Linked DNA regions of Arabidopsis thaliana. The protein of the gene in region 1 purifies or fractionates together with the protein of each later gene. This does not show direct contact. Each region holds a gene or a part of one and is shown on either strand. Other genes may lie near its edges. The genes, in order: IDH-VI, HSP60, PRXIIF and AT5G12040.

Region 1 (7,420 bases):
GAAAATATCAAAAATACTGCAAATACACATGAACACCAAATGTCTATTGATAGCTCAAAAGATGAATTACCTCCAGCAATGTATTCAACATTGAACTTCTGGCTCATTTCATCGTACCTAAACATACCAATTATCATGTGAATAAACAAAGAGTATTTGAAAAATAATCACTGTCATATTAAAATCACATCAAGAATCACTTAAGGGCAATGAAAAATCACCACACTTGTGTCTGTTTCCCTTAAACATAGCACTTGTCACAATCAAATCATAATTCTTCTACGCAGATTACATATACATATCCACATCAATTACAGAACAACTTGAAGAGTAAATACTAATCAATCCTCATTATCACCATTTGAATTCAAATGCACGCTAGGATTGAGAAAAAGTGAATTCACTTACATGGGCAAATGTTTGTCCTCTGCGAGAATCGCATTGTTCAATTTGATGTCGTATCTGTCACGAATTCAAAAGAAAGCATTAGAATTCAGAGAACCCATAAAGAATATCGTAAACACAAACAATCTAGATCCGAGCGAAAACGATCCGGATCTGAGCTTACTTGTCGAGAAACTGTTGGTCGACGACGGCAGAGACGTCGAGGAGTGGGTTTCCCATTCCCAAAAGGATTCCATCGAAATCAGAGGAAGCCATGGATGATGATGTTAGAAGGATTTTCGAGGAAAGGGAAGAGGTTCAGATCTGGTAAATGGAGGAGCAAGTGTTTTGTGTGAGTGAAGTGTTTGTGTTTATAAGCTCTGAAACCAAAGTAGGTATACCAAAGATAGATTCTTCTTCTTCCTATTATTTTATATATATTATTTTTTAATGCATATTTATCTTTTTTTTTGGGCAAAATAATGTATATTTATATATTAGCTCAAAATCATGCATAAATTTGCCATTGGAATTTCTAATTCTATATTAAACCAAATTTTAGTATAGTTCATTTCATTCAACTTCATTTGTAGAGAAAAGTTAACTGAAACAAAATTTATGAGTAACGAAATAATTGATGAAATAGAGTAGTGTTGTTGTCAAATGCAGCTATATACGTCCCTATCCCACCAACCCACTTGAGAAAAGTGTCAACACATGTCCAAAAGTCTATTGGATCTTGTTGTAAGAACATAAAAATTCTAATTAAGTTGTTTCTTTAAGAGAGAGTTAAAAACAATGAGAAAACCAAATGTGACAGCATTGCAACTTACAAAATGAATAGGAAAAAGATTGAATTTGTCGGTGGCATTGAAAAGTCCTGAATCATCCACGTTGGTTTGTTTCAGCATTGAAAGTTTTCACTTTTCAGGGTTTGAGAGTTATGTATTCATTCATTCACAGAGAATAGGCAAACAATTTAGGTAAGGACAAAAGGGACGATATTATTATTGTTGAAAATTCACAGAGAATAAGACATAACGCCAAACAATTCAGGCAAAATCCACAAACTGTAAATGTGAACCTTTTGATGGATTCTTCCAATATCTGTATCCTTCTTTTGTTATGGATCTTAAAGGCAGAAGAAGTAATACAGCTCTGCAAGAACTTCAAATCTAAGGAAAACACAAGTCAATGTCTAAAGCCTATGGCGGCTTTGTTTCTCCTCATAGGAAGAGGATCAATATGTAGAAAAATTTTGGAGTGAAAATCCAAGAGGAAGATCCAATAAGTAAGTAAGGAAAGAATTATGGTTTTTCACGGGTGTTTAGAGATGATCACAGATGGCTTTTGTGAAATCTGTTGTAGTTGAGGAACCTCCGAGATCAGCAGTTCTATACTTTCCCTCGGCTATTGTGTTGATGATGGCACTGTGGATTTGCTCTGCTTGTTTGTTGAGCTTCAGGTGCCGCAACATCATCACTCCACTCAGTAGCAAAGCTGTTGGGTTCGCCAGGTTCTACACAACACCAGCAAAGAATAACAAACATGTGGATCATAAGCTAAAAATCGAATCAAGTTCTGATATTGAATAGTGGCAAGATAATATCTAAACCCACTGTATTTGAAAACATGATTTATTTATTAGACTCCTTAACCCTCAATGCTAGGTTGGCCAGTTATTAACATCATTCAAGTACTACAAGCACGATCATCCAGTAAGAACCATTCTACAATATAAACTAGACAATAATCCATTCTACAATGAAAGCTTCTGAATGTTCAACCAAGAAATGGCATAGAAGAGAGTAATGGAGAATCTTCTCTCAGGAACAGCTTCTATCATACTTAGTTTTAGGGTAAAAGTAGGCAAGTTCACTTAAATTTGTCAAAATCTGTAATGCAGTGTCTAAATCCTATTTACTCTAATAATTTAACAAGTTAACAACAACTCTATGCATCAAACGAATTTAGAACGATGATAACATCTAAGAATGATGACTAACCATTCCAGCAATATCAGGTGCAGAGCCGTGAACAGCTTCAGCAAGGGCAATACCATCCTCCCCAATATTCATACTGGAACAAAACATAATAAGAGCATAAGATGATTGCCTCATTTTCATACTAGACAATAATCTGTGAGACGAAGAAACAAATGTTACCTAGGAGTCAGTCCTAGTCCCCCAACAAGTCCAGCACACAAATCGCTGATAATATCTCCATAGAGATTTGGCATCACCAAGACATCAAAAAGTGCTGGGTTTTTCACAAGCTGTCAGAATTAAGATTATCAATCCCACATTGTTCCATAAGTAAAATTAGCGAAAAGCAGACCCAAGTATGGGTTGCTGGGAAATCTAACCTTCAAAATCAACAAGATTATCCCAAATACTAACTTAATTAACAATGAGATTGACCTTTACATAATTTGGAACAAAAGATAGGGTGGATATCATGTTATAGCTTACCATCATACAGCAATTGTCAATAACAACCTTCTCGTAATATATCTCAGGATACTTCGCAGCAACTTCATCACAACACTGCAAAGCAGGAAGCAAATAAAAACTTGTCTCAGAACAAAGGTTAAGAAAAAGAAGCCAGTGAGAGACTAGAAAAATTGCTATGTTCCCCTAATTGAGAAGTGCTAATGTATTCTGAGTTCCAAAATGAGCTGACCTGCAGGAAAAGACCATCAGTTTTCTGCATAATGTTGGCTTTGTGAATTGCAGAAACTTTCTTCCTTCCGTGAGTCTTGGCATAAAGAAAGGCATACTCGGCAACTCTCATACTCGCCTTACGGGTAATAATTTTAAGACTTTCCACTACACCCTTGACGACCTAGCAAATAAAAATGACAAATCATCAACATGGCTCTAAAAATGATACTAGATACAGATTCACTAAAATGACAGAACAATAGACTAACCTGGTGTTCAAGCCCACTGTACTCTCCTTCAGTGTTCTCACGAATGGTAATGAGATCAACATCATCATAACGGGTTTTGTAACCAGGAAGACTGTAACAAGGCCTAACATTGGCATACAAATTCAGCTCTTTCCTAAGAGTAAGGTTCAAGGAACGGTGACCCTTTCCAATTGGAGTAGCCATTGGTCCTTTCAAACCAACCTTGTTTTTAAGCACAGATTGAAGATTATCCCATGTCAAGAAACTATTGGTTCTAGGATCTACTTCAGTACCAACAAACTGTTCGTCCCAATCAATAACCACATCAGCGGCAGTAAACACCTGGATCAGCATAAAGGGAAAACATTTTCAGAACCATCAGCTATAAACTAAAAAAAACAAACTTTATGATTCAAATCTCTCCCTTGACACGTCTCAAAAAGTATTCAGACATTATGGTTCCTAAGAGTATCCAGAATCTATAACAAAATTTATATGGTAACATAAATTACACAACACCAAAGTAGATTGAAAAAAGGGACCTGCTTGACAGATTCAGCGATTTCGGGACCGATCCCATCACCGGGAAAGAGAGTAGCTTTGATCGGAGTGGAGGAGGAGAAGAAAGCCCTAGAAACGGAAATGAACGGACCGGAGCTAGAACTCGAAGTCCCGAGAATCTGGCTCGATCCGTTACCGATAAGCCGTCTCGCGAGAAATGCTGTCATGGTCATCGCTTCCAGCCTCAGAAGGACGCAGAGAGAGAAAGAGAGGAAAGAGGAGACTTTTTGCTGCGTTGGACCTGAAAAAGTTTACTTTTATACCTTCTCTAGCTCCAGCAGAGAAGCAGAGAACATTTCGATTTCCATGAAATAAAACGGCACAAAGTTAGTGTCTGAAAATAAGAAACGGCATCAGCCTATGTTCTTAAACGGCCATGGTCAAATGAACCGGATATCAATAAATTATAAAAACCGGTCAGATGAAATTAAGCATTCAGATCCCGATAAGCAGTGTGACACTGAAACAGCGAAAGGAGCTCTCTCTCACTCCGAGGCGATTTCTTCTGTCTCGACGATCTTGCGCTTTTCACATTTGAATCCTCCAATCCATTACTTCTTCTCCGATCTTTTATTCCGGTGATCCTTTGGATTATGATTATCGAGATCCATTGCTGCCTATTTGAGTCTTGAATCATTTGTTTGCGTTCTCATCTGTGCTTAGTTATGTGATTCTCCGATAAGATTTAGTTATGTGATTAATGCATGTATGTATCAATCCGAATTTTGGTGATTCGTTGTCTATTATTAAATACGTCAATCTCCATTTGTAATCCCTGGTTGAAATAATAGCTATCTTGTCATGGAGATCATCAACATTACATTTACTACACTACACACATAATGTCACATATGATCTTAGTATATGTACTCTTTTGTACCAGTGACTAGAACAACTGTGAGTGTGGGTTGAAGTTTTTAATATCTTGTTAAAATCGAAAGTTTTTGACTCAGATACTACTTGGTTTTGTTTTTGTCACTGTTTCAGGTACATCTCAAGTCTTACAACAATGTCTCCTGTAAGTACATATGCATTATATGATTGTATTTCGTATTCTGTTAGAATGTGTGTATGTTGCCGCAATCATACAGCTTTGTAGGAGTTTTACTCTTTTTTTGGACTGGAACTTAATTACTGACTTTCCAATGTACATTGAATAGGATTCTTGTCCTTTGGTAAAGAAGATTCTTCTTCTAGACTCTGAAGGAAAGCGTGTGGCTGTCAAGTATTACTCGGATGACTGGCCAACTAATGCCGCCAAGTTAAGTTTTGAGAAGTATGTATTCTCAAAGACCTCTAAGACCAATGCTCGTACAGAAGGTAAGACTACATAACATTTTTCATCTACACAATTTCTATCATGTTTCCTGACTTCGTGTATGCTTATATACTTATCTCTTTCAAATAGCCATATCGATGTTTTATGTGCAGCTGAGATCACACTGTTGGACAGCAATATTATTGTCTATAAGTTTGCCCAGGACCTTCACTTCTTTGTTACTGGAGGTGAAAATGAAAACGAGCTCATCTTAGCTTCTGTTCTTCAAGGCTTTTTTGATGCTGTTGCACTTCTTCTGAGGTATTTGTTTGACTTGACAACTGAATATGCCTTTATTTATTGATCAACCATCTCCACAACTAAAGTATGATGCATCCCTTTTTTTTTTTACCAGGAGCAATGTGGAAAAGATGGAAGCCCTTGAGAACTTGGATCTCATCTTTCTATGCCTTGATGAAATGGTCGATCAAGGGTATGCAAGTTTAATAGTTTAGCCCTACACGACAATTACATAAAAGTCTTAAGCATGCTAAAGATTTGCTCAACCTTTTTTAAGCTTGTCCCATATATCTTAGCAGTTAGCTATTGTCTGATTGTGGCTTATTATGGAATATGTGTTAAGGGTGGTTCTTGAAACGGATCCAAACGTCATTGCGGGGAAAGTAGCAATGCAGAGCACAGAAGCTAGTGGTTCACTCTCTGAACAGGTAACGACACTTTTGACTATTATTGTTACATCTCCCTGTGGAAAAGCAATAGTCTTGATTTAGTTTTGCTATAACTTTGGTCTGGTTTGGCTATAAACACAAACGTGAACTTCTAATTTGAACCCTCTGTTTACATTTCGGTATTGCAGACACTAACACAAGCGCTAGCAACAGCTCGGGAGCATCTGGCAAGAAGTCTGCTTACATGAGTTCCATCATGGCGACACAATAATAGAAGCATGGACTTCAATTTCTATGTTGAGCAACTTTTTATTTTTGAGTCTTTCGGTTTGAAAGTCTCTAATAATTGAATTCTGCAAACAAACTCTTAAAGTTTGGTAGTAAAGGTTTGATTATATATATAGCTTTGTGCAATGCATGAATGTTTTTGGAGAGTGGAATTTTATTACTCTAATTGAAGTCTAAACTCTAAGCAATTCAGGAATATTTCATTTTCCAAGCGATTTCAGATGCTAGTGATCTTGTAAGGTGAAGAAAGACTAAAGTGCCACCCCTCAGAACCTTCTATTTTGAGGTGCACGCCATATCAGAAGAGCAAGAATTGTTTTGGTTCGTATTTTATAAAAATAATCAAAGCAAGAATTGTTTTGGTTCGCATTTTATAAAAAAATCAAAGCGATAAACAAGATAATACTAAATTTCGAATTATTTAATTAACAGATTAAGTCGAATATTTTATAATTATCGAAAGCTGATTTAAATCCAAAACTTTTCCTCTTCTATATAAACTGAGAAACGCTTTTACTCAAACCCTAAATCGATCGTTCTGCAAAAGTTTTCTGTGAAGTACTACTACTCTCTCTCAAGGTATTTGTTTCTTCTATCTCTTCTCATCATCTTTTTTCGCCTGATCTTTTTGGTTCTTACCATTCAGAATCCTCCTTTCTCTCCCATAAAAAAAATTGTTTACAGATGACAATTCAAATCTACGCAAAGACTCTTACAGAAAAGACCATAACACTTGATGTTGAAACCTCCGACTCCATTCATAATGTCAAGGCTAAGATCCAGAACAAGGAAGGCATTCCTTTAGACCAGCAACGACTTATCTTTGCTGGTAAACAGCTCGAGGATGGCCTTACCTTGGCTGATTACAACATCCAGAAAGAGTCAACTCTCCACTTGGTTCTGAGGTTGAGAGGTGGTATGCAAATCTTTGTGCAGACTCTTACGGGAAAGACCATAACCCTTGAGGTCAAAAGCTCAGACACTATCGATAACGTCAAGGCCAAGATCCAAGATAAAGAAGGAATCCTTCCTCGCCAGCAGAGACTTATCTTTGCAGGTAAGCAACTCGAGGATGGTCGTACTCTTGCCGATTACAACATCCAGAAAGAGTCAACACTGCATCTTGTCCTTCGTCTTTGCGGTGGTATGCAGATATTTGTGAGTACCTTTTCCGGTAAAAACTTTACCAGTGACACCCTCACCCTAAAAGTTGAGAGCTCAGACACCATTGAAAATGTCAAGGCGAAGATTCAAGACAGGGAAGGTTTACGCCCGGACCACCAGAGGCTTATCTTTCACGGTGAAGAGCTCTTCACCGAGGATAATCGT
Region 2 (8,316 bases), 5.7 Mb from region 1:
CAGCATCGTTCCATCTGCCACCAGATGCATAGATGTTATATAGTATTACATGGGGACCAGGGTCGTCAGGGTCAAGTTCAAATACATGCTCAGCCGCATAAGCTCCCAATTCCGTATTCTTATGCATTCTACAAGCATTAAGCAGGGCTTTCCAGATGGCTGCAGTGGGTTCTATTGGCATTTCTTCAATGAATCTCAGTGCCCTATTAAGATCACCGGCTCGCCCAAGAAGGTCTACGACTGTGACGTAGTGCCAAGCCTCGGGAACTATCCCATCTTTCTTCATCAATTCATAGTAATGCCATCCTTCATCTAGAAGACCAGAATGGCTGCAAGCTGTAAGCACAGAGAGAAACGAGATTTCATTGGGGCGAATCCCAACCCTCCTCATTTCCTCGAACCACCACACTGCTTCCTTTCCAAATCCATGTTGGGCATAAGCAGTCAGCAGCGAGTTCCAAGACACCACATCCCTTTTAGCCAATCTATCGAATATTTTCCTCGCGTCATGGATGCTTCCTGATTTTGCATACATGTCAAGAAGAGTGTTTCCCGCGAAGGCCACAAGCTTTTCACCGGATTTAATCATATAAGCGTGAACCCATTTCCCTTGCTCCAAGAACCCTGTACTGGAACAAGCACCAAAGAGGCTAGCGTATGAGAAATGGGAAGGTCTAAAACCATCTCTAAGCATCCCTTGAAAAAGCTCCAGAGCTTTCTCTGTACCACTTCTCCTAGCATGACCAGCAATCAGAGCATTCCAAGAAACATCATTCCTGCTCTCAAGCGCATCAAAGACTAATTGTGCATCATCCATAAGACCATAGCGAGTATACAAATCAAGAAGAGCACTACCAACATGAACATTCGAATCAAAACCACATTTTACACAGAACCCATGAAGTTGATGACCACAACATCCCCTTCTCTCAGCTGCAGCAGCTTTGATCACACTAGACAAAGTGAACTCATTGGGACTATATCCAAATCTCAACATCTGATTAAAAAAAAGTAACGCATCACAAGGTCGATCATGCTGCGAGTAACCAGAAATCAAAGTAGTCCAAGTAACAAAATCTCTCTGAGGCATTTTTTCGAACACTTTACGAGCTTCCTCCAAACTTCCGCATTTAGCATACATATTGAGAAGAGTGTTGCCCATAACAATGTCATGACGAAAGATAGATTGAAGGATATGAGCATGAACGATCCTTCCCTGAATGAGCAACTTAAAGACTGTACATTTCTTCAGCAGCGTGTTGTAGAAACGTCTATCGGCGGGAATATAACTGCCCTCGAGATCATTGCTACTCGTTCGGAGAAGAAGATCATTGGATGGGAATTTTAAAGATTCGTCTTCGGAATCTTCAGATACCGGTGCCGGGAGAGAATTCAGACGCCGAGATAGCTTCAGCTGAGAGAGGAGACGAGGCGGGAAACGCAATGCCATGGTCGACACTCGACAACATCAAAGATGCTAACCGGAGATGAATTATAACTGAAAATAGTTTGGTTATCTTCGGTTTGTGTCAATGTATATAACCGGAATATATTTCAGTTCGATTTCATGGTAATTTGGATTTTGTGGTTTTCGTTTTTTTGGTGCATTTCAGTTAGTGGTTGCTTAATTTTGCTAAATCTTGGTTTAACTACGATGAAACTTGGGTATATATATAAATACTGTAATTTGAAGGGTCGGTTTATTGTTGGAGTACCAGACCTGAACCAGAAGCAATGACAAACACAAATGATGCCTTAGGAAAATTTGTTGATGCTAATAGTGTGTCTCGTAACATTGCCAAGTGTGCTCTGTTTATTGTAAAACTTTTGAGGTTATTGAGCAACAATAAGGCAAAGACGAAGACTAAAACTCCTAAAAGAATCGTATCTCTCTTCTCAAGTTAAGATGGTGATTGGTGAAAACAAAAGACAGAATTTAGTGGATCTAGTAGTCCATGCCTCCCATTCCACCCATGCCTGCTCCTGCTGCTCCTGACTCGCTTTCGTCTTTCGGAAGATCAACCACTACAGCTTCCGTTGTCGTCAACAAAGATGACACACTGCCAACAACGCAAGTATACAGTTTTAGCTTAAGACTCATATATCGAAATGAAGAAGAACATTGTTAGTTAGGGTGTTCGCTTTTTATTTACCTCGCAGCATCAACCAAAGCTGTCCTGATCACTTTCAGAGGGTCTATGATTCCAGCTTTCACCATATCCACATATTCACCTAGTTTGTTCTCCACAGTTAGCTAAATGCAATCTTCAGAGAGAACAAAAGTGAAGTGATGATGGATTGTGAAACTCACCTTTAGCAGCATCATAACCGAGGTCTGGGTTATCTTGCTCCAAGAGCTTGCCAACAATAACAGCACCTTCAACTCCAGCATTTGAAGCGATTGTGTAAACAGGAGTCTGGTAAACCAAAACTCGTTAAAACAATTTCTTGTCATCAATTATCAGATCAGAGGATTTTAGTTCTAAAGAATAGAAAACCTTCAATGCGTTCTGAATAATCTGGACACCAATCTTCTGGTCAAAGTTGGCTGTTGGAAGTTTTTCCAACTCTCTTGCTGCGTATAGAAGAGCCACACCTCCTCCTGCAAGTGTTTTGATTTGTTTCTTTAGCACATAGCAAACTTTTTAGCACTATATCAAAGAGTCTTCCTCACTGGAAGAGACATACCTGGTAAAATACCCTCTTCAACTGCTGCTTTAGTGGCATTCAAAGCATCTGTCACTCTGTCTTTCTTCTCACCAACTTCAGCTTCACTTGCTCCTCCAATCTAAACACAATTAGCTCCAGAAGTTATAACAAGACACTTACAACCAGGCTGCTATGATTCTAAGACTCCCAAAACATTATAACATGGACTAACCTTCAACACTGCAACACCTCCAGAGAGCTTAGCCAACCTTTCTTGCAGTTTTTCCTTGTCATAATCTGAGGTGCTCAGTTCAATTGCTGACCTAATCTGTTAGTTGCAATACCAAGCAATTAGAACGAACTACTTTCATACACTTCATAATTTCTTGCATACAAATTTTATTACTAACCAATTTATCAGGGTATAAGGTTAAAAATTACCTGTTCACATCTTTCCTCAATTCCTTTCTTGTCGCCAGCCCCATCAAGAATAACAGTGTCGTCCTTGGAGACTGTAACCTATACAAATAGCCAGACAAGTCTCAACTACACTTACAATCCAACAAGGATATGCTGAGAATGTAATAGCCAAATCTAGTTCATACTAAGAGCCACCATGTCTATATCAGTTAAGGTTTCAAAGGCTACCTTTTTGCAGGTTCCTAGCATGCTTAGGTCCACCTTCTCCAGATTCATGCCAAGCTCGTCTGTGATAACCTGTATCAAGCTAAGTCAATAATATTCCATTGTTGACAAGACTAACACATTACACAACAAATGTACTACCTCTCCACCAGTAAGGGCAGCAAGGTCTTGCAAATTGGCCTTCCTATTCTCTCCAAACCCAGGGGCCTTGATGGCACAGACCTGCAGGGAGGAAACTATTAATCTAAAAGCAAAGAAGTCATAGCTAAAAGTCAGGAGACGGTAGTAAGAGCTTCTGTTGTTCAAACCTTAATTCCGGCACGGAGCTTGTTAAGGATAAGAGTTGCAAGAGCATCACTTTCCACATCTTCAGAAACAATCAATAGTGGTCTTTGCCTCTGTAAGATTTTATTTGGACAACAGAAACCACATCAGATGCCTTTCACACAGCATTTACATGAGAAAATGATTACAGATTTACTATAAAGATAAAGTAGACATACCTTCAGAGCCAACTCCAACACTTTCACTATAGAGTTGATGCTTGAGATCTTCTTCTCGTGGATAAGAATGAGAGGATCGTCTAGTTCCTACATAGATTAATTCCAATTCAGTAACTTCTATAATTGATATGACACATCAAGAAACTTAATTGAGCAGGGAGTAAAAAACTTACACATTTTTGGGTTTTTTGATTAGTGATAAAGTATGGTGAAGTATAACCTCTGTCCAATTTCATCCCCTCTACAACTTCCAACTCGTTAAACAATGTCTTTCCATCCTGCAATGCATTATACCCACGTCAGAATTATGTTTTGACCAATATATAAGTAGCAACATGAGCAATCATTCGGCGATTTACTTACTTGGATTGTGATAACACCTTCTTTGCCAACCTTCTCCATAGCCTTGGCAATAAGTTCACCAATTTCCCTCTCTCCATTAGCAGAAATGGTTCCAACCTGAGCAATCTCTTCAGATGTGCTGATCATCCTAGCCTTGCTTTTAAGGTTTGTCACCACAGCATCAACTGCCATGGAAATACCTCTTCGCAAGTCCATTGCATTCATTCCTGCGGCAACTGATTTGCATCCTTCGGCAAATATAGCCCGGGTGAGGACAGTAGCACAAGTAGTACCTGCATGACAAGTTAAACAAGCATTGGTACATAGTTTTGCAAAGTTTCTACAACTATGAACCGCATAATCAATCAAAATGAAATATCTTACCATCACCAGCAACATCATTAGTAGCATTTGCAACCTGCTTCACAAGACTAGCACCAACGTTCTTAATTTTGTCTTTGAACTCAATACTTTTGGCAACAGTAACACCATCTTTTGTCACTTTAGGAGCACCCCAACTTTGCTCAATCACAACATTACGTCCCTTCAAAATTAGAATCACATAAAGCAGAAAGTCTTAGACCAAATTCGATACAGAATCAACCGGTCACCCAAATCACATGCTAAGGAAGGAACCTCTGGCCAAATCATGTCCAAATCAAATCAAAATGTGTAGAAGAAAAAGAGTACCTTGGGACCCATGGTGACTTTAACAGCATCAGCAAGATCTTCAACACCCTTAAGCATCAAAGCTCGAGCTTCAACACCAAACTTAATCTCTTTCGCTGCATAGTTCCTGCTCCAGCTCATTCTGCTGGAAACCTGGCGAGCGTTTTGAGCAATCCTGAAGAACAGAGAACAATAAAGACACCATTTTTATTATCAGAACTGGCAATTCAGAATCGGGATTAAGCTAGTAGATTTCGAGAGCCCAGATGAATTTGAAGAGAGTAGATCAAAACCCAAATCGATTTAATTCCTCATTAGCTTCCAATGAGAGTGAATAAAAAACACGAAGAAAGTGAGTTCATTACCTTGCCTTGGAGGCGAGGTTAGAAGCGAAACGATACATGGTGAGTGAGAAGGAAGAGGATTAACGATGAAGAGATGATTCTGATGAGCGAGTTAGATTAGATCAATGGAGAACAGGCGGAGAGAGAGAGAGAGAGAGAAGAAGAGTTGAGAGGGCTTAATAAGCGAAGGAGAAGAGTCTAGAAGCAGCTGCTAGTTACTATATGAGCCTTTTAGGGTTTTAGGCCTCTTTAGGGTTTAACTTTCATTTCAAACTTAAAAATCGTTAATCTCATTTGACGAAAAAAAAAAAAAAAAAAGTCGTTAATCTCATTTTCCAATTTAATTTCTGTAATATTTTTTGCCCCAAAGAAACAGATTTCATTTTTTCATCTTTTGATAACCAGCATTTGTGATTTTGCCATAATATACATGTCAAATTTTATATAGCGTTTAACCAAAAAATAAAATAAAATTATATCGCTTGATCTAAATATCCTTGAATCTAATCAAACTGAACCACACCAAACCAAAGAAAACCAACGGTAATTAAATGGTTCCGGTTGGATTAGGTTTTTGGTTTAGGTTTGCTTCAGCTCTACAAAACAAATCGGTGTTTCGAGTTTTTTAAATTGAATTTGTTCTCTAAAATCAGTGGCAATTTGTGTAATATTTTACCTCAGTAAAAGTTTCTTAAATACGCAAAGATAAAAACTGATAATATGAAATAGAACTCCAAAAGAAATCCAAAATCCAAACAATGCAAACAAAAAAGTGAACCAAACCCCATAATAAACACCTAGATGATACCAAAAGGTTGACCTTGCTTCACTTTTTTTCTTCATTACTTTGCTCTTTTAGTTGTCCTAAAGTAGAGGAATTTGAAGCTTCTATTGATATTAAAATTTGTCAATTTCTCTCTTTAAAAACATGAGTAATTTGGTGGGCTGTCGTCATGTTCCACGGGCCACATGGATGCTCCTATTTATTTTCTTTACCTGTCATATGTGTCCATCACGACTCATTTCTCTCCATTTTTTTTTCTCTTAATTTTCTTACTACCTAAACATTCTCTCTTATTTTTCAAAAAATACAACAGACTATGAACAAATACATTACACACTTCTTATACATTTTTAAAATCAAAAGCTACATGAAATCTAAATTTCACCAAACAAACAATGAGTGAACGTTAAAAAAAAATTGCAACCAAACAAAGAAAAAAAAAAACGAGTAAAAACGTTTAATTCAAAGCAGAGAAGGGGAAAATAAAAAGAAAGGGATCTGTTAAAAAGAGATCTGACGAACAAAATTAATATTTGAACTTCGTCCTCCTCTCCTTCAGATCGAAAACCCTAATTTCGATTTCTTTGTTTGACAATTCCATCGATTTTTGAACTTGTTTTCTCGAGATCTCCATCTGTTTCCTCCACCCCGAAATTTCAACGATATCTTCTCGATCTGTGCGTCAGGATCTGGGCTTTTTGAAATTTGAGTTTTCTCCTCAATCATAACAACGGCGATTTCCGGGAATGGCTTTGGCTAAAACGGATTCAATGGTAATTGAAAAAGCATTGATTTGAAGCAATTGGAGAGGGAACATTTCCCTCTGCGAGATTTCGAGTATTTTTCAATGGCATCAGCTACTAGTTCCCGGAGGCAAGAGGACGTTGAAGCTGGACGCCGTAAGGTAGATCATCATCATCATAATCATCATCTTTTGTTTGATTCTCTCGTTACTTTGAATTTGCCCCTAAAATTTGTCGGTGCTGAGTCAATTGATCATTTTTTTTAGGTGGGTTGTTTATATTGGAATTGAGATTGATGTCCTAACGCATGCAATCAGAATTGAGATTTATTCGACAAAAAGCTTGTTTTTTTTAAAGATGAATGCGTAAAATTGTGTGTTTCTTATCGTTTAATTTCTGGATTTTCAGCTTGAGCAGTTTCGTAAACGAAAAGCAGCAGAAAAAGCTAAAAAGGCATCACAGAATACACAACCTGTTGATAATAGCCAACAAAGTGTCATAGATTCAGATGGAGCTGGTGCATCTATCTCTAATGGACCTCTCAAGCAATCTGCTGAATCTACCTCAAATGAAACCCATACCAAAGATGTATATAATTTATCATTTTCGAATACAGCAATGGATGATGGAAGCAAAGAAAGAAGTAGACAAGATGATGGTCAGGAATCAGTGGGCAAAGTTGATTTTTCTAATAGCTTAGAGTTGATAGGTTCATCGAAGGACTTAACAGTGAATACTAGGCCTGAAGTTGTACCTTATAGCAATATAGACAAGCAATCGAGTGAAAGTTTTGATCGTGCTTCTACTCTAAGAGAAACTGCATCTCTTTTTTCTGGAACCTCAATGCAAATGGATGGTTTCATTCACGGCAGTGGATTAACCTCATCCAGAAAAGGTACGTGGCTATCATATGAGGTTAATGTAGTAATGTATTTTGTCCTAACCCTCCTTCTTTTTTGTTCCTTAAAGGCAACAACCTAATTTATCATTACGGTTTTTGTTGCTAGACTCTCTACAACCTACTACCAGGATGGCAGGGTCTTTTGACGAAGTTGCCAAAAACCAACAGGGAAGTGGTGAACTAGGAGGTAGCATTGTGCAGAAGCCAACTTTGTCAAGCAGTTATTTGTTTAATTCTCCAGACACATCATCTCGACCTTCTGAACCTTCAGATTTCAGTGTGAATATCACAAGCTCTTCACCATTAAACTCAGCTAAGAGTGAAGCAACTGTGAAGAGATCTCGTCCGTCTTTCCTTGATTCCCTCAATATATCAAGAGCTCCAGAGACTCAATATCAACACCCTGAGATACAAGCGGATTTGGTTACATCCAGTGGTTCCCAACTATCTGGCAGTGATGGTTTTGGGCCATCTTATATATCAGGGAGAAGAGACAGTAATGGACCATCATCTTTGACAAGCGGAGCATCTGATTATCCTAATCCATTTGAAAAGTTTCGGAGTTCTTTATATCCTGCTGCCAATGGAGTAATGCCAGGTTTTACTGATTTCTCTATGCCAAAACAAAATGATGATTTTACTGCTCTGGAACAGGTAAGATACTTATTTCTTGCACCATCTTTTATTTTGTTAATGTATTGTCAATTGCTACTTAGTATGGTCTTCTCATTTAGAA
Region 3 (6,112 bases), 1.2 Mb from region 1:
CAATCGCTTTGGGACCTCAAACTTACAGAGTTAACAGTTATGTTGGCAACAATGTTTGAATAGACAAAGTCAGATCTAAAAACGAAAAAAGACTGTCACAGACTCTCACCCACATGCATACATGCCCATCACTCTTTTTCTTTCAATTTTATTATTTTAGTATAAGATGTAGTGTATATTCTTTCATATAATCGTTTTTTAAATCTAAAAACATCTCAATTTAGACATTTATATGGGATCAAAGCTGTATGTTTTCTGTCAACTAGCTGTATCTTAAATTAGTTTTAAATGTCACATATAAGACTAACCACCCATATGTGAAAGTATTAACTCAACATCTCCTTATTACAAGTTGCGCAATACGAACACAATCTTTTTTTAACTCTATCACACGTAGTCACGTAACATGTTCTCTTGTGAAACAAATGTCAGAAGAAACTAAAATAATTTCACAAAATAATACTATACAATTTTCTATTCATCTCTTTCATAAAAATGTGTATTAGTCTAAATCAACTACAACAAATAAGGTGATTAGTGTCAGTTGTTTTTTAACGACATCATTAGAAAATAGAAACCAATTTTGAAACACAACGACAACAAGTCACAAAATTATTATATAAAAAATAAATTACAGCGAGAAACTAAAACGGCCGGTTCAGATAGAAATCATTAAACCGAGTAATTGGTTAACTGGTCTAATCGTATTTGTTTTTATTTCTCCAATGAATGAGCTGACGGAGCTTCACATCGCCGAGAGCTTCGTCACGAGATCCATGGCGGCCATTTCTCCTCTCTTCCTTCTCTTCCTCATTCCCATTATCCCACTATCGCTTCTCGCTATCTTAGCCCTAATTGTACGTCCTCGTCCCATTAAGATCCCTATCAAGTCCCGTCACGCCTTCATCACCGGTGGATCTAGCGGCATCGGTCTTGCTCTCGCCCACCGCGCCGCTTCCGAGGGCGCTCGTGTCTCAATCCTCGCCCGATCCGGATCAAAGCTCGAGGAGGCTAAGAAATCGATCCAGCTCGCCACTGGTGTCGAAGTCGCCACATTCTCTGCAGACGTTCGCGATTACGATGCAGTCTCGAAGGCGATAGATGAATCGGGACCGATCGATGTGTTGATTGTTAACCAAGGTGTGTTTACGGCGAAGGAGCTGGTGAAACATAGTCCTGAAGATGTCAAATTCACGATTGACGTAAATCTTGTTGGGAGCTTCAATGTGATTAAAGCCGCTTTGCCTGCCATGAAAGCAAGGAAAGATCGTGGACCTGCTTCCATCAGTCTCGTCTCCTCTCAAGCTGGTCAGGTTCGTCTCTCAAATTTCCCATCTTTATGGATTTAAGTTTTATCTGGAGATTGTAGTTACCTGAAGTAAGACATTGACAATTTATCACTTGAAGTAACTTTTGTGTAACTGCAATAATGTGACCTCATGTAATGCAGTTTTAAAGATAGAATGATGAAGGATGTTTTTTTTAATAAAATTTTCAGGTTGGTGTCTATGGTTATGCTGCATATTCAGCAAGCAAGTTTGGTCTTCAGGGTTTAGCGCAAGCATTGCAACAGGAAGTTATATCTGATGATATTCATGTCACTCTTATTTTTCCTCCTGACACTAATACACCCGGCTTTGAAGAAGGTAAAAAAGCTTCAGTATTTTTCAGATTCATCATGGATGTATAGAGCAGATAATCTAAGTTTAACATGTGAGGGTAGCTAGGATTAGGTACTGCTACTAAATACTAAGGCAATTAAATGTATAAAAGAGTTGGAGACAGATTACTAAATAAGGCTGTACTATATGGTTGGGACATATGTAGACATAAACTATTATTCATCTAGTTTGTTATTATGAGATCAAATATGTGCCCTTATCTGGTCTGAATAATTGTGTACTCTATCAAACACGTAGCATTTCATGTTCACATGTTCTATGAGAGTGCCAGTTAGGAGAAACTGATAGACTGGTGAGTTAAGTACTGAGTACTGTGATAGTGTTTAGCTTGAAGTCTCTGCGTACTGTGGTTCACATGATACTGTTTAGAAGAGAATAATGGGATGTAGTTATCTTCCAATAGCATCTGAAAATTTCATAAAAGACTTCTTTTTGCCTATCTGAGAATGAAGTAAGCACTTTTTTTTTTTTGATAACTAATGAAGTAAACACATTATGGACTGATGTTCTGAGTTCCTTGGTTCATATTATGAGTTTGATTGATTTTCCTTGGGTGCTCTCTCAGAACAGAAGAGCAGACCTGAAGTCACTGCCATAATAGCTGCATCCTCTGGTTCAATGGAAACAGAAGAAGTAGCAAAAAAGGCTATGGATGGCATAAAAGCAGGAAACTTCACCGTCTCATGCAACTTTGAGGGATTCTTACTGTCTCTCGCGACAACCGGCATGTCCCCTCAAAGATCATTTTGGCTTGCTTTTCTTGAAGTTATAACCGCAGGGCCTATAAGATTAATCGCTCTCTTCTTTCAATGGGATTGGTATAAAGCCATTGAAAAATGGAGCAAAACCAAAACCAAATGGTAAGTTCCTAATGCCATCAAGTTGTCATCATATAGAATTTGCTCTTGCTTGACTGCGACATCACTATTCTAAAATTGCTTCTCTTTTGTAATTTCAGACAGCCCGACAATGTATCTTGAAGTGCTTTTGGCAGAAGCTTAAACATTGATGGGTATTCTCAAACCTTCTTCTCAGTCCGGTACCACGCCAGCTAGTCGACTATACCAATTCAGAATATCGACATTGCTGATAGTTTTGTAGAAACTCGTCAAGATTCATGTTTCCGGTCTTTGAACAAGCTCTGTTTTTTCTTTTTTTTTATAGAGAAATCAAAGAACTCATTTGAATGTATTTTTTACTTGGTCAAGAAGTGAATGTTTTTCACAAGATGAAATGTAAATGATGTATTTGAAAGAAGTAAAAACTTCAAAACCAAAATTTGAGTGTGTGCTGTTCTTGAGGCTTTTAAACAACGTGCAGTCTGATTTGTTTGTTACAAAACGGCAACGATTAAGTCTCTTTAGAAAGGTCTTTGAGAAGTGCCATAAACGACACTATACAGTAATCGAAGGAACCAAGAAACGGTCTCAATCTTATTTTCAGCGATGGCGATGTCAATTCTAAAGCTAAGAAATTTATCGGCACTAAGATCGGCGGCAAATAGTGCCCGGATCGGAGTTTCATCGAGGGGTTTCTCAAAGCTCGCGGAAGGCACTGACATAACCTCGGCGGCGCCTGGCGTTTCTCTCCAGAAAGCTCGCAGCTGGGACGAAGGTGTTTCCTCCAAATTCTCCACCACGCCATTGTCAGATATCTTCAAGGTTCGAATCTCTCTTTTCTGACAATTTCAATTCAGAGGGGGATTTCAATTTCTGACAAAACGTTTGTGGATATTGATTGGTTGCAGGGGAAGAAAGTCGTCATCTTTGGTCTTCCTGTAAGAAATCTCTATCTTTTCATGTTCCTTTATGTCTTGATCAGGTTTCTGAGTTCTGATGTTGTGCCGGAATATTCGTTTTCTGTGTTCAGGGGGCTTACACGGGAGTTTGTTCACAGCAGCATGTGCCTAGCTACAAGAGCCACATTGATAAGTTTAAAGCCAAAGGCATTGATTCTGTCATCTGTGTCTCTGTTAATGATCCCTTTGCTATCAATGGTTGGGCAGAGAAGCTTGGTGCCAAAGATGCAGTAAGTTCATCGATTTTTTTTTTGTTCCTATCTTTGTTCTTTGACACCAACCTAATCCGATGTTTAGTGTATGCTGATTTGGTTCTTTGCTTCAGAAAACTTGATTTGCAACATAACATATATTATTCGGTTCCTGGTTTCGTTGTCTAAGAGTTTTCAGTGGTGAAGATGGTTCATTTAGGAATCTTTTAACTCCTCAAGTATGTAACTCTTGTTGACGTCCTGATAGTAATCAACCTCTTATAGTTAGAACTATATTACTCTATTATTCACGTTGTCTGTGGTCTCAAGATTTTATATTACACCAATAGACGATAAACAGATCTGATTCTATGATTAAATGGACTTCCCTTATTAGAAAGTTCATAATTCTTGATATGGACTAGCATTACAATAGATTTCTATGTTTATGTTCGGATAAGTTTACGTGCTAGAAGAAATGACTTAAATGTGATGCTCTTGAACGTTGTCTATGATTACCTTCACATTAATAGACGATAAAAGAATTTGATTCTATGATTAAATGGACTTCCCTCATTAGAAAGTTCATAATTCTTTATATCGACTAGTACTACATGCTAGAACAAATGACTTAATGTGATGCTCTTGAACGTTGTCATACCAGATTGAGTTTTATGGAGATTTTGATGGGAAATTTCACAAAAGCTTGGGGCTAGACAAGGATCTCTCTGCTGCATTGCTCGGGCCACGGTCTGAGAGGTAATATACTGGAAAGTCCATTTGTAGAAATGTTTGTATCGTAAACCATTGATCTAACAGATTCGTTGGATTTATGATGTCCATGTTCAGATGGTCGGCTTATGTAGAAGACGGGAAGGTTAAGGCGGTGAATGTGGAAGAAGCACCGTCTGACTTCAAGGTTACAGGGGCAGAAGTCATCTTAGGACAGATCTAAAAAGTATTTCCAGAGTTGCTGTTTCTTCTGAGTTGCAACTGATAATAAGTTTGATCCGAACATGTCTCAAGGATCAGACCAAGTAACAGCTTCACTTCTTTTGTTTTGTTTCCACAGTTTCAGTTTAAATAAAACTTATGTGTCTTGCCGTTTCTCACCAAATGTAAATCTGGTTCATAATATGAATAAGAAACCAATGTGGTTGAGGGATATGATTTTTCGTGTCCCCATTGTCAACATGAAGGTTAAGACTCCTCTGCTTAATCCTAAGTCTCCCACTCGTGTTCTTGAGCAATTTAGCTTCTTTCCTCGCTACCTGGTGTTTCTCCTTCCATTGTTGAGTCTCTAACCTTGTGGCCTCGAGATCTGTTTCTGCAATCACAAGCTGCTCTTTCATTTGACTAAAATCCGGAGCCAGCTATTTCAAACCCAATGCCAAATAAAGCCATTGCTTGTGGAGTATGAAGGTATATAGATGAACTAGGTGCTGCTCTTGAGGGAGGACATGAAAGCTGAGTGGGTTGTTGTGAAAGGCCTTACAAGGACGTAGTATGTCAAATTTGTTGATAAGATCCTTATTGGGCTTGGCCCATAGACAAAAGTAATTTTGAGCCGAAAAGAGGAATCTTTCCACTCTAAACCCTATGCGTGACTCATCTCCGTCTCTCACAGTAATAATCAAGTCAGAGCCGGCGAAGCTTGCCGTTTCCGCCGTTGGAGGTAAGCCTTATCTCTCTTTCTCATCTCCTTCTCCGATTTCCAACTCTCAGATAATAGATTGGCGGTTCATGGATCCCATTGTTTGATTTCGGAACTGTGTTAGCAGCTAATAACCTAGACTATCAAATCTGATACATTGGAATTTATATTTGGGCTATTGACGCTGAAACCGATCTTATGAATCATCCTTTCTTACTCACCATTTTGTTTCACTGATCTTGATATGTTCATTTGATCTGCAAAGAAGAAACCTTTGAACCTAAACCTATACAATAGAAACATGTTTCTTGAAATTATTTTTATGTTAAGCACTAATTTCTTGATAATCAGTCTTATTCTGAGATCTTGATCTCTTTGCATTGGAATATTATCAATGTTTAGTAGATTCGCTAGCTAAAGTTTTCGTCTTTTTTTGAAAACACAGGAGAGTTTTTACTGTTGCTGTCCTGTTGACATTTTGAGACATGAAATGATCTTGGGTTGATGTTTGTATGGTAGCAGAGGAATAGTAGTCATGAAGCTTATTTCACTTGTTAGAAACGTTCGTTCTCGCCAATGTCAACCGGAAGTAATCTGGTCTGTGCAAGTTCGTTTCTTGCAGCAAGACTCTGTCTCGAAAGCTAAACCCAAGAAATACAAATACCCGTCAGTTTATGATCCGTATGGTCCTAGACCCCAGCCTTCAAGCAAAATCATGGAGCTAGCTGAGCGTATAGCTGCTTTATCTCCAGAAGAAAGAAAACAGATTGGTCCTGCACTCAATGAA
Region 4 (7,636 bases), on another chromosome or scaffold:
AACAGAGGACTGACCAATTGGTCTGTCACTTGGTCAAATTAAATAAAGTGAAGTATGTATCACATGCAGTTATCTGTTTCACATAATGTAAGTGAGCGATTTAGAGATGTATATTAACATTCTTATTTCCACTGGGCCAATAGATGTTTCCAGAACTTTGATGTGGAAGATTCTTATAACAACTTCATTAATTTGAATATCCCAAAGGAGAATGAAAGAAACAGAACAAACTTTTATTTCATCTTAGAACAAAACACCATATCCCTCACGCATTCCGATTACATTCATCAAATCCATAAATCAAAACAAAATAGATAAATCCAACACACAATCACAAAACAAACTCAAGCAACTTGAACTTGAATTGTCTTTGGTTTCTTTGGTTCCGGAGGAGGAAGTTTCTGAACAGTAACCTTCAACACACCGTCATGACAAACAGCAGAGATCTTGTCCAAATCTGCATTTTCAGGCAACTGAAACTTCCTCATGAACTTACCCATTCTTCTCTCCATCCTCACATACTTCACACCTTCGTTTTCTTTGTTCTCTCTCTGCCTCTCTCCACTCACCACAAGCACATTGTCGTTCTCGACCTGAACCTTGATCTCATCTCCTTTGATTCCAGGCATGTCCACGACGAATGCATATGCGTTAGGGTGCTCGATGACGTCAGCAGGTGTAGCAGCCATTGCCTTAGCGTCTCGCATGTAAACTCGTGAAGGGTTGTTGCGGGTCTTCTCGTTGTTGTGGTCTTCGGGGACTTCAAGCATGTCTTCGAGGATTGAGATTATTGGAAACCTTCCTAAATCCATTGTTAGTTGTGTTGTGTTTGCTTTCCTGATTCTTTGATTCTTGGCTTTTTGTTTTCTTTGATGAGTTTGATGTGAGAAATGTGGGGACTTAAATAGGAGTGGAGATGGATATTTCTAGAGGATTGTCGAGAGAGCGATTGTCGCGGTCTTTAGAAGTTCTTCCGTATTGTTCGAGAAACGTCTTGGTCGTTCTGGTTTTTGTGAACTCTGTAACTCAGGTTTGATAAAATATGAGCCATAACTTTACAGAATTTTTAATATCTATATGGGCTTTTAAATTAGGAATATATCAAGGCCCATTCCATATGTGAAAATAGTTCATGATTCATAAGATTAGTGTTTTAGCAAATTAAAGAACAAATTTTGTGATTTAAGGAATCCGAACAATATTGCTCATTTTAAAGAATACATTCAACTGGAAAGTACATACAATTGCTGAAGACTTGGATTACAAGTGTACAACATGCACCTCAAGATCAGAAGTTCAAAGTCTTAATGATGGAAACAAGACTAAATTAGTATATGCTCTGGTTTCTGGTCAGAAAAATTAATGAAAGACCATATTTATTTTAGTGACCAAAGAAAAATACTATATATGTGGTAGCACTAACTCACTGAATACCACTAAATCGTGTATAACGACATTAATATAAGCTATTAAAGACGGTTACAAATCTGCACAAAACTTGATTTGTCTTAAAACTCAGTTGATGTTATTTGCATTCGCAAATGCAAATTTCATTTAAAAAATAATGTAGCAGATTGAGATATCAGACTTCGTATTATACTACAGATGTAGTAGCTGAAGATTCAGTTACGTTATCCAACATGAAAAAAGTACAAAGAGTTGTTTGGATTTTAAAATCAGAATAACAAAATTGTTTCCTTTCATCTAATACTTAAAGGATAAAATTGAATATGTAAGAGTTTTTGCAGATATAATAACACTGTGTTACTGATCTCATACCCATAAATTACTTCAAGGGACATAACTCCAAAAATATATTTTGCTGACTGCAGAGATAAGGGTGAAATGCAAATGTGGATTTGATGGCCAATGTGCTAAATAGCACCAATGATATTAGGAAAGGATGAACAGTAATAATTTCTGCAAAAACAGAGGAATGACCATTCGGTGTCTTTTTTGTTGTGGTCCTATTTTTGCCTCATAAGCATGGATGGTTCAAGAGAGCAAAAACTTCATTGATTTGAAGATTGAACACAAAGACAAATATGAACAGAGAAAACTATTTTTATTTCATTTTACAACGAACACCAAGAGGTAGTTGCTTATCGATTACATTCATTAAAACACAAAAACACGATCACAAACAAACTCAAGCGACTTGAACTTGTATAGTCTTTGGTTTCTTTGGCTCAGGAGGAGGAAGTTTCGGAATAGTCACTTTCAACACACCGTCATTACAAGCCGCAGAGATCTTCTCCAAATCTGCATTATCAGGTAACTGAAACTTCCTCATAAACTTCCCCATCCTCCTCTCCATCCTCACAAACTTCACACCTTCATTCTCCTTGTTGTCCCTCTGTCTTTTGCCACTCACCACAAGCACGTTCTCGTTCTCTATCTGGACCTGAATCTCATCTCCTTTGATTCCAGGCATGTCCACGGCGAAAACGTACGCATCCGGGTGCTCGATAACGTCAGCTGGTGTAGCAGCCATTGCCTTTGCGTCTCGCATGTAAGCTCTTGAAGGGTTGTTACGAGTCTTCTCGGTTTGTTCTTCAGGGGCTTCAAGCATGTCTTCGAGGATTGAAAATATTGGAAACCTTCCAAACTCCAAATCCATTCTTAGCTGTTGTGTTAACTTTCTTGCTTCTTGGCTTTTTCTTTGGTTTGATTGATTTTGATTTTGATGTAAGAAAGTATTAAATAGAAGTTGAGTTGGATAGTTCTAGAGCAATGTAGAGAGAGCGATTGTTTCGGTGTTATAGAACTTAAAAGCGCTTCTCTAACGTTCGAGAAACGTCTTGATCGTTGGAGAAGTGTAGATGGATATTTCTAGACGAATGTAGAGAAAAGCGATTGATTCGGTCAGGCCCAAGACCAATTCGTTTTCAGGCCCATATGTATTCTGTTTTGGATTTAGTAAGGATGTTAAATTTATCCGGTTTGGTACGATTTCATTCGAATTTAGTGTATAAAATTGATTGAACCGCGTCAATACGGTTGAAACGCAAACGCAGAGGATTCATGAGTCATGGCTTTTGTGAGGTGAAGTATCAATATCATCTACCTACCTATATGATCATCGGACTAAAGTGAAATGAAGTCAGCAATTTCATCGTCACTCTTCTTCAATTCGAAGAATCTTTTAAACCCTAATCCTCTTTCTCGCTTCATTTCTCTCAAATCTAACTTCCTCCCTAAATTATCTCCGAGATCGATCACTAGTCACACCTTGAAGCTCCCATCTTCGTCAACCTCAGCTTTAAGATCCATTTCCTCTTCCATGGCTTCTTCTTTCAACCCTGAACAAGCTAGAGTTCCCTCTGCTCTTCCTCTCCCAGCTCCTCCGTTGACCAAAGTTAGCTCCTTTCTTTTCATTTACCTTTGGGTTTTCAATCATTTCAGCTTTTGATTGATTTCTTCGTTCCATGGGTAATTTTGTAGTTCAACATCGGATTGTGTCAGCTATCTGTTACATCTGACAAAAAGAGAAACATCTCTCATGCTAAAAAAGCCATTGAAGAAGCTGCTTCTAAAGGAGCTAAGCTTGTTCTCTTACCCGTGAGTTTTTCTTCTTTGTATCTTAGCTCATAGCTCTTTGTGAGTTCAATTCTAATGTTCTGTTGCTCAAATGTGTAAAATTTACAAAAAGTATGAGCTAGTGGTATCGTCTCTATGGGGTTTAAAACCATTCAATGGGTTTGTTTCAGGAAATTTGGAACAGTCCGTATTCCAATGATAGTTTTCCAGTTTATGCGGAGGAGATTGATGCAGGTGGTGATGCTTCTCCTTCAACGGCAATGCTTTCTGAAGTTTCCAAACGTCTCAAGATTACAATCATTGGTGGATCTATACCAGAAAGAGTTGGAGATCGTTTGTATAACACTTGCTGTGTCTTTGGTTCCGATGGAGAGCTAAAAGCTAAGCATCGGAAGGTTAGATTTTTTGAGATTAAACTTTCATAGAAGAAATAATGAACTTTCCTCTGCTTTAGGCCATAGAATGAAAGATGCTAATCTTACTTCTAAAATCGTTGTTCATCTTTTATCATCTGTTTTTAGGATCTAATAGACTTAGAATCAGTAATTAGAATGATGTGGTAGTTATGTTCTGGTTCGAGTTCTTCCTCTATGATTCATAAGGACAAATTATGAGGCGAGATGGCCTTGACCGTTTTATGCTTATATTATCAATTCTCAGAACATCTTGTTTTTGATTGCTTGCACTTATTTGTGTTTGTACTTGTGTGTGCATACAGATACATTTATTTGATATAGACATTCCCGGGAAGATTACTTTTATGGAATCCAAAACTCTTACTGCTGGAGAGACACCAACAATCGTTGACACAGGTTATAATCTTGGTTTGCCAAATATAATTCCAGGTCATGCATAAACAATCATGTATCTTACATAAACTCATTGTGGTACTATCTAAAAATAATAATTTAGGATTAAGGATTTAAATTTCCAGTCAGATTTGGGATCTTCTTAGCTCAACAGTGAAATGATTCATTTTCATGCTGGCCTAGTGTTTATGAATAATAATGTTTTTAAGATCTTGCCAACTATTTTGACTGGGGAAATGTCTTTATTGAACAATCAAGTCATAGTAGGACCGTTCACATCACCTCTCACTTTCTAGTACTTATGAGAAATCTTTAACGCGGTGCAGCGCTTGAGAATGATAGTTTTGTTGGTTGTTGCAGATGTAGGGCGTATTGGAATAGGCATCTGTTATGATATCAGGTTCCAGGAGTTAGCTATGATATATGCTGCAAGAGGTGAGTCTTCATATCATAATGCTTTATCCAAATGGACTATCTGCTTCCTCTCTTTTTCGGGTCCATTACGTTTTAAAGAACCTCATCACCCACATGTTTACTTTAATCATATCAGGGGCTCATTTGCTGTGCTACCCGGGAGCCTTTAACATGACAACTGGACCATTGCATTGGGAATTACTACAAAGGGCCAGGTATGATTCACAGTCTACTACATTACGACTTTCTTGGCTTATTTAATCATGGGTAAATCACAATGCTCATCGATCTGTTTTGTTCCATTTCAGGGCTACGGATAATCAGGTACATGAACCAAGTTAAATACTTGTATTGATAGCCAAAAGAGAGATACAAGTTCTGACATTTCTTAATGAATTCATAGCAAACCTGCATTTTTCTTTGAGTTATCAATACAAGTATTATCTTCTGCTCTTTGGGGTTAGTTTTACTTAATTGACTGTTATCAAAGTCATGGACCGGTTAATAGAACTATGTATGCTACTTTCTCCAGTTATATGTGGCGACATGCTCACCTGCCAGAGATTCAGGAGCTGGCTACACTGCTTGGGGGCACTCAACACTCGTTGGGCCTGTAAGCACTAAACTTTTTCTGTGTTACTTGATTGATAATGAAGCTTTTAGCTGATCACTAAACTTTGAAACATATATATTATTTGACAGTTTGGAGAAGTACTAGCAACGACTGAGCATGAGGAGGCCATTATCATAGCAGAGATTGATTACTCTATCCTTGAACAACGAAGGTAATCACGGAAACACCAGAACTTTCTTGGTTTTTGATAGCGTGATCCGCTAACTGAATCTCGTTTTTTTTACCATCTTAGGACTAGCCTTCCATTGAATAGGCAGCGGCGGGGAGATCTTTACCAGCTTGTAGACGTACAGCGCTTAGACTCTAAATGAACGCAGCAGTAACTGTATATCTGAGAGATATTGCGAGTTGAGCACGATTTGGTTACTTACAACTTCATGCATGATCAGTCATTTCTCCACAACTTTGCTGAGATATGTAAAAGAATAAAAATCAAACTTTTGAGTTAAAATCGAACAAAGGCAAGTAAATTCTGCTTAGATAATGTGAACTCCACCCACTTGCCATGTGTTTGTTGTTTATAAACTTCAATGCATTCTGATAACAATGTAGACTTGTGATTCGCAATCAGAATAGCATTTGACTTTTTTATCAAAATATATACACTATTTTTGTGAATTTCTCAGTAAATGTCATTGTCTATGAAAAAAACAACTCATATCTTCATTCCACAACCATCATATTCAATATCGAGTACTTACTTAAACTAAAATTGTTATAACTGGTTCTTCAAATGTTCACACCTACTCAAAACGTTTCATCACATAACTCAAGTCAAGTCAAAGATAGCCATGGTATATTTTGCTACACATCAAGATTTGTAATATGCAATGTAATTTGTTTTAGATGAGAAGAAGAAAAGAGTATATAGAGTATGCAGATAGGTTCATCCACAAGCACAAGTGGGATATAAAAGATTTGAAAATGAAATAACATATAAACTTTTGTCAGCGGCCTCAACATGATTTGAAGATCCGTGGTTATTGTTGAATGATAAATGACCGGACGACAAAATGCAGTTACAACAGCAGAAGCCTTACAAGATTCACCACAGTGTGTAGTGGTTTCGTCTTTGGAGAAGACACGTGGACCAAGCCTATAGGGTAAAGAAAGACGTAGAGTGGTCCATGCTCGTCACAGGGACTCTGCGAAAGAAGGAATGCCGTACGCGTGTGGGAGGCCGCACGTGCTAGGGGCCCATGTGGCCATGGGCTATGCTTCACGTGCCAGGTCACGTGTAGGACCAAACCTCACCACAGTTCGGTACCACCGCGTGAATCTTCTCTCTTTTCTTTGTGTCAGCTCTTATTGTCTCTCCCTGACCAGCTCAATCTCTGACTACCCCGTGCGGTATTATTTCCTTTTACTCCTGTTTCTTGCTCATATCCCAATAACTCAAATAGTTGTTTCCATTTTTTAAGATTCATTTCCATTTTATATCATTTTGTAACCCTTTTTTTGTAAATATTTTATCTATTCAACCTCACTTTAGCGAACATTATCTTACAGTTTTTGTTGCTTTTACTTTATAGATTATATTTCTCTTAAACATACAAATAGAAATTAGTGTAATGTTTGTATGATGTGTAAATGATATCTACTCCCAAATAGTATCACTCAATTTTGGAGTATATTATTGTTATAGGCATAGTATTTTAAACAAGGACACAAAAATATTTTTGCTTTCATAACAATCAAACAAGAAGTCATGTTTATGTAAGTTTCTGTTTTGTACTATATATCTTGTTTGTTTTTTTAACTGTCTTGTATTATTATGTTTAGGTAAAAGTATGGTCCAAACTAGAAACAATATTTACGGGGGAATTATTCGAAACTGGATATGATAAGGAGATGTCAAACGAAAAACATTGGCCGAAGTGTGACAAAGATATATAGAATAGACACACAAGAAGACATAAGTGTTTTTCATAACGAAAAAAGAAAAAAAAAAAGAAGAAGAAGACATAAGTGTTTATGAAATGAGGAACAATGAAGGAACAAGAAAGGAAGGAAGCATGTGAGACTGAAAAAGACGCAAAACAAGTACAATTCCTTAACCGGTCCTTGTCGACCCAACCAATGAGCAATGTGGTGTAAGAGACATTTTGCTTATATTTAAACATATTAATCGTTTGATTAATTAAGACCCTACTTGTTCCTAATCACATCCTTTTCCTAAACCTATATACGCTTGAGATCTGTCTAAACAATATGAGACAATCCGTAATGATATGGCTAC

The links.
Region 2: the proteins of IDH-VI (region 1) and HSP60 purify together in Arabidopsis thaliana (affinity purification with mass spectrometry, with the first as the bait; one large-scale study listed by BioGRID). This does not show direct contact.
Region 3: the proteins of IDH-VI (region 1) and PRXIIF purify together in Arabidopsis thaliana (affinity purification with mass spectrometry, with the first as the bait; one large-scale study listed by BioGRID). This does not show direct contact.
Region 4: the proteins of IDH-VI (region 1) and AT5G12040 purify together in Arabidopsis thaliana (affinity purification with mass spectrometry, with the first as the bait; one large-scale study listed by BioGRID). This does not show direct contact.

Annotation. Positions count from the first base shown.
Region 1 is NC_003074.8:3,005,362-3,012,781, reverse strand, and holds IDH-VI (isocitrate dehydrogenase VI), read right to left. Parts: upstream 4,217-7,420; 5' UTR 4,030-4,216; coding exon 3,838-4,029; intron 3,638-3,837; coding exon 3,317-3,637; intron 3,229-3,316; coding exon 3,067-3,228; intron 2,931-3,066; coding exon 2,856-2,930; intron 2,660-2,855; coding exon 2,550-2,659; intron 2,464-2,549; coding exon 2,391-2,463; intron 1,904-2,390; coding exon 1,712-1,903; 3' UTR 1,317-1,711; downstream 1-1,316. Other genes in the region: ADK1 (adenosine kinase 1), read right to left, coding at 71-117, 409-462, 569-660; AT3G09800 (SNARE-like superfamily protein), read left to right, coding at 4,217-4,434, 4,844-4,874, 5,017-5,176, 5,288-5,435, 5,530-5,607, 5,758-5,842, 5,992-6,051; UBQ8 (ubiquitin 8), read left to right, coding at 6,776-7,420. UniProt on the Arabidopsis thaliana protein: Catalytic subunit of the NAD(+)-dependent isocitrate dehydrogenase involved in the oxidative decarboxylation of isocitrate to 2-oxoglutarate. Performs an essential role in the oxidative function of the citric acid cycle.
Region 2 is NC_003074.8:8,665,908-8,674,223, reverse strand, and holds HSP60 (heat shock protein 60), read right to left. Parts: upstream 5,453-8,316; 5' UTR 5,212-5,452; coding exon 5,174-5,211; intron 4,984-5,173; coding exon 4,830-4,983; intron 4,684-4,829; coding exon 4,524-4,683; intron 4,433-4,523; coding exon 4,161-4,432; intron 4,076-4,160; coding exon 3,971-4,075; intron 3,885-3,970; coding exon 3,798-3,884; intron 3,693-3,797; coding exon 3,603-3,692; intron 3,517-3,602; coding exon 3,436-3,516; intron 3,367-3,435; coding exon 3,298-3,366; intron 3,169-3,297; coding exon 3,091-3,168; intron 2,978-3,090; coding exon 2,882-2,977; intron 2,789-2,881; coding exon 2,689-2,788; intron 2,603-2,688; coding exon 2,499-2,602; intron 2,418-2,498; coding exon 2,312-2,417; intron 2,233-2,311; coding exon 2,154-2,232; intron 2,061-2,153; coding exon 1,946-2,060; 3' UTR 1,646-1,945; downstream 1-1,645. Other genes in the region: AT3G24000 (Tetratricopeptide repeat (TPR)-like superfamily protein), read right to left, coding at 1-1,450; BLI (BLISTER), read left to right, coding at 6,784-6,840, 7,088-7,574, 7,687-8,234.
Region 3 is NC_003074.8:1,824,825-1,830,936, reverse strand, and holds PRXIIF (peroxiredoxin IIF), read left to right. Parts: upstream 1-3,030; 5' UTR 3,031-3,127; coding exon 3,128-3,343; intron 3,344-3,429; coding exon 3,430-3,459; intron 3,460-3,551; coding exon 3,552-3,710; coding exon of another isoform or gene 3,711-3,860; exon of another isoform or gene 3,861-3,910; intron 3,911-4,335; coding exon 4,336-4,430; intron 4,431-4,520; coding exon 4,521-4,626; 3' UTR 4,627-4,938; downstream 4,939-6,112. Other genes in the region: TSC10A (NAD(P)-binding Rossmann-fold superfamily protein), read left to right, coding at 726-1,313, 1,499-1,646, 2,248-2,542, 2,641-2,641; AT3G06040 (Ribosomal protein L12/ ATP-dependent Clp protease adaptor protein ClpS family protein), read left to right, coding at 5,861-6,112. UniProt on the Arabidopsis thaliana protein: Thiol-specific peroxidase that catalyzes the reduction of hydrogen peroxide and organic hydroperoxides to water and alcohols, respectively. Plays a role in cell protection against oxidative stress by detoxifying peroxides.
Region 4 is NC_003076.8:3,882,065-3,889,700, forward strand, and holds AT5G12040 (Nitrilase/cyanide hydratase and apolipoprotein N-acyltransferase family protein), read left to right. Parts: upstream 1-2,884; 5' UTR 2,885-3,097; coding exon 3,098-3,358; intron 3,359-3,444; coding exon 3,445-3,561; intron 3,562-3,710; coding exon 3,711-3,935; intron 3,936-4,258; coding exon 4,259-4,352; intron 4,353-4,709; coding exon 4,710-4,784; intron 4,785-4,899; coding exon 4,900-4,978; intron 4,979-5,071; coding exon 5,072-5,087; coding exon of another isoform or gene 5,088-5,105; exon of another isoform or gene 5,106-5,295; coding exon 5,296-5,376; intron 5,377-5,465; coding exon 5,466-5,548; intron 5,549-5,629; coding exon 5,630-5,708; 3' UTR 5,709-6,013; downstream 6,014-7,636. Other genes in the region: HSP17.6II (17.6 kDa class II heat shock protein), read right to left, coding at 345-812; HSP17.6A (heat shock protein 17.6A), read right to left, coding at 2,150-2,620; AT5G12043 (uncharacterized protein), read right to left, coding at 6,696-6,830. UniProt on the Arabidopsis thaliana protein: Omega-amidase involved in the metabolism of asparagine. Probably also closely coupled with glutamine transamination in the methionine salvage cycle.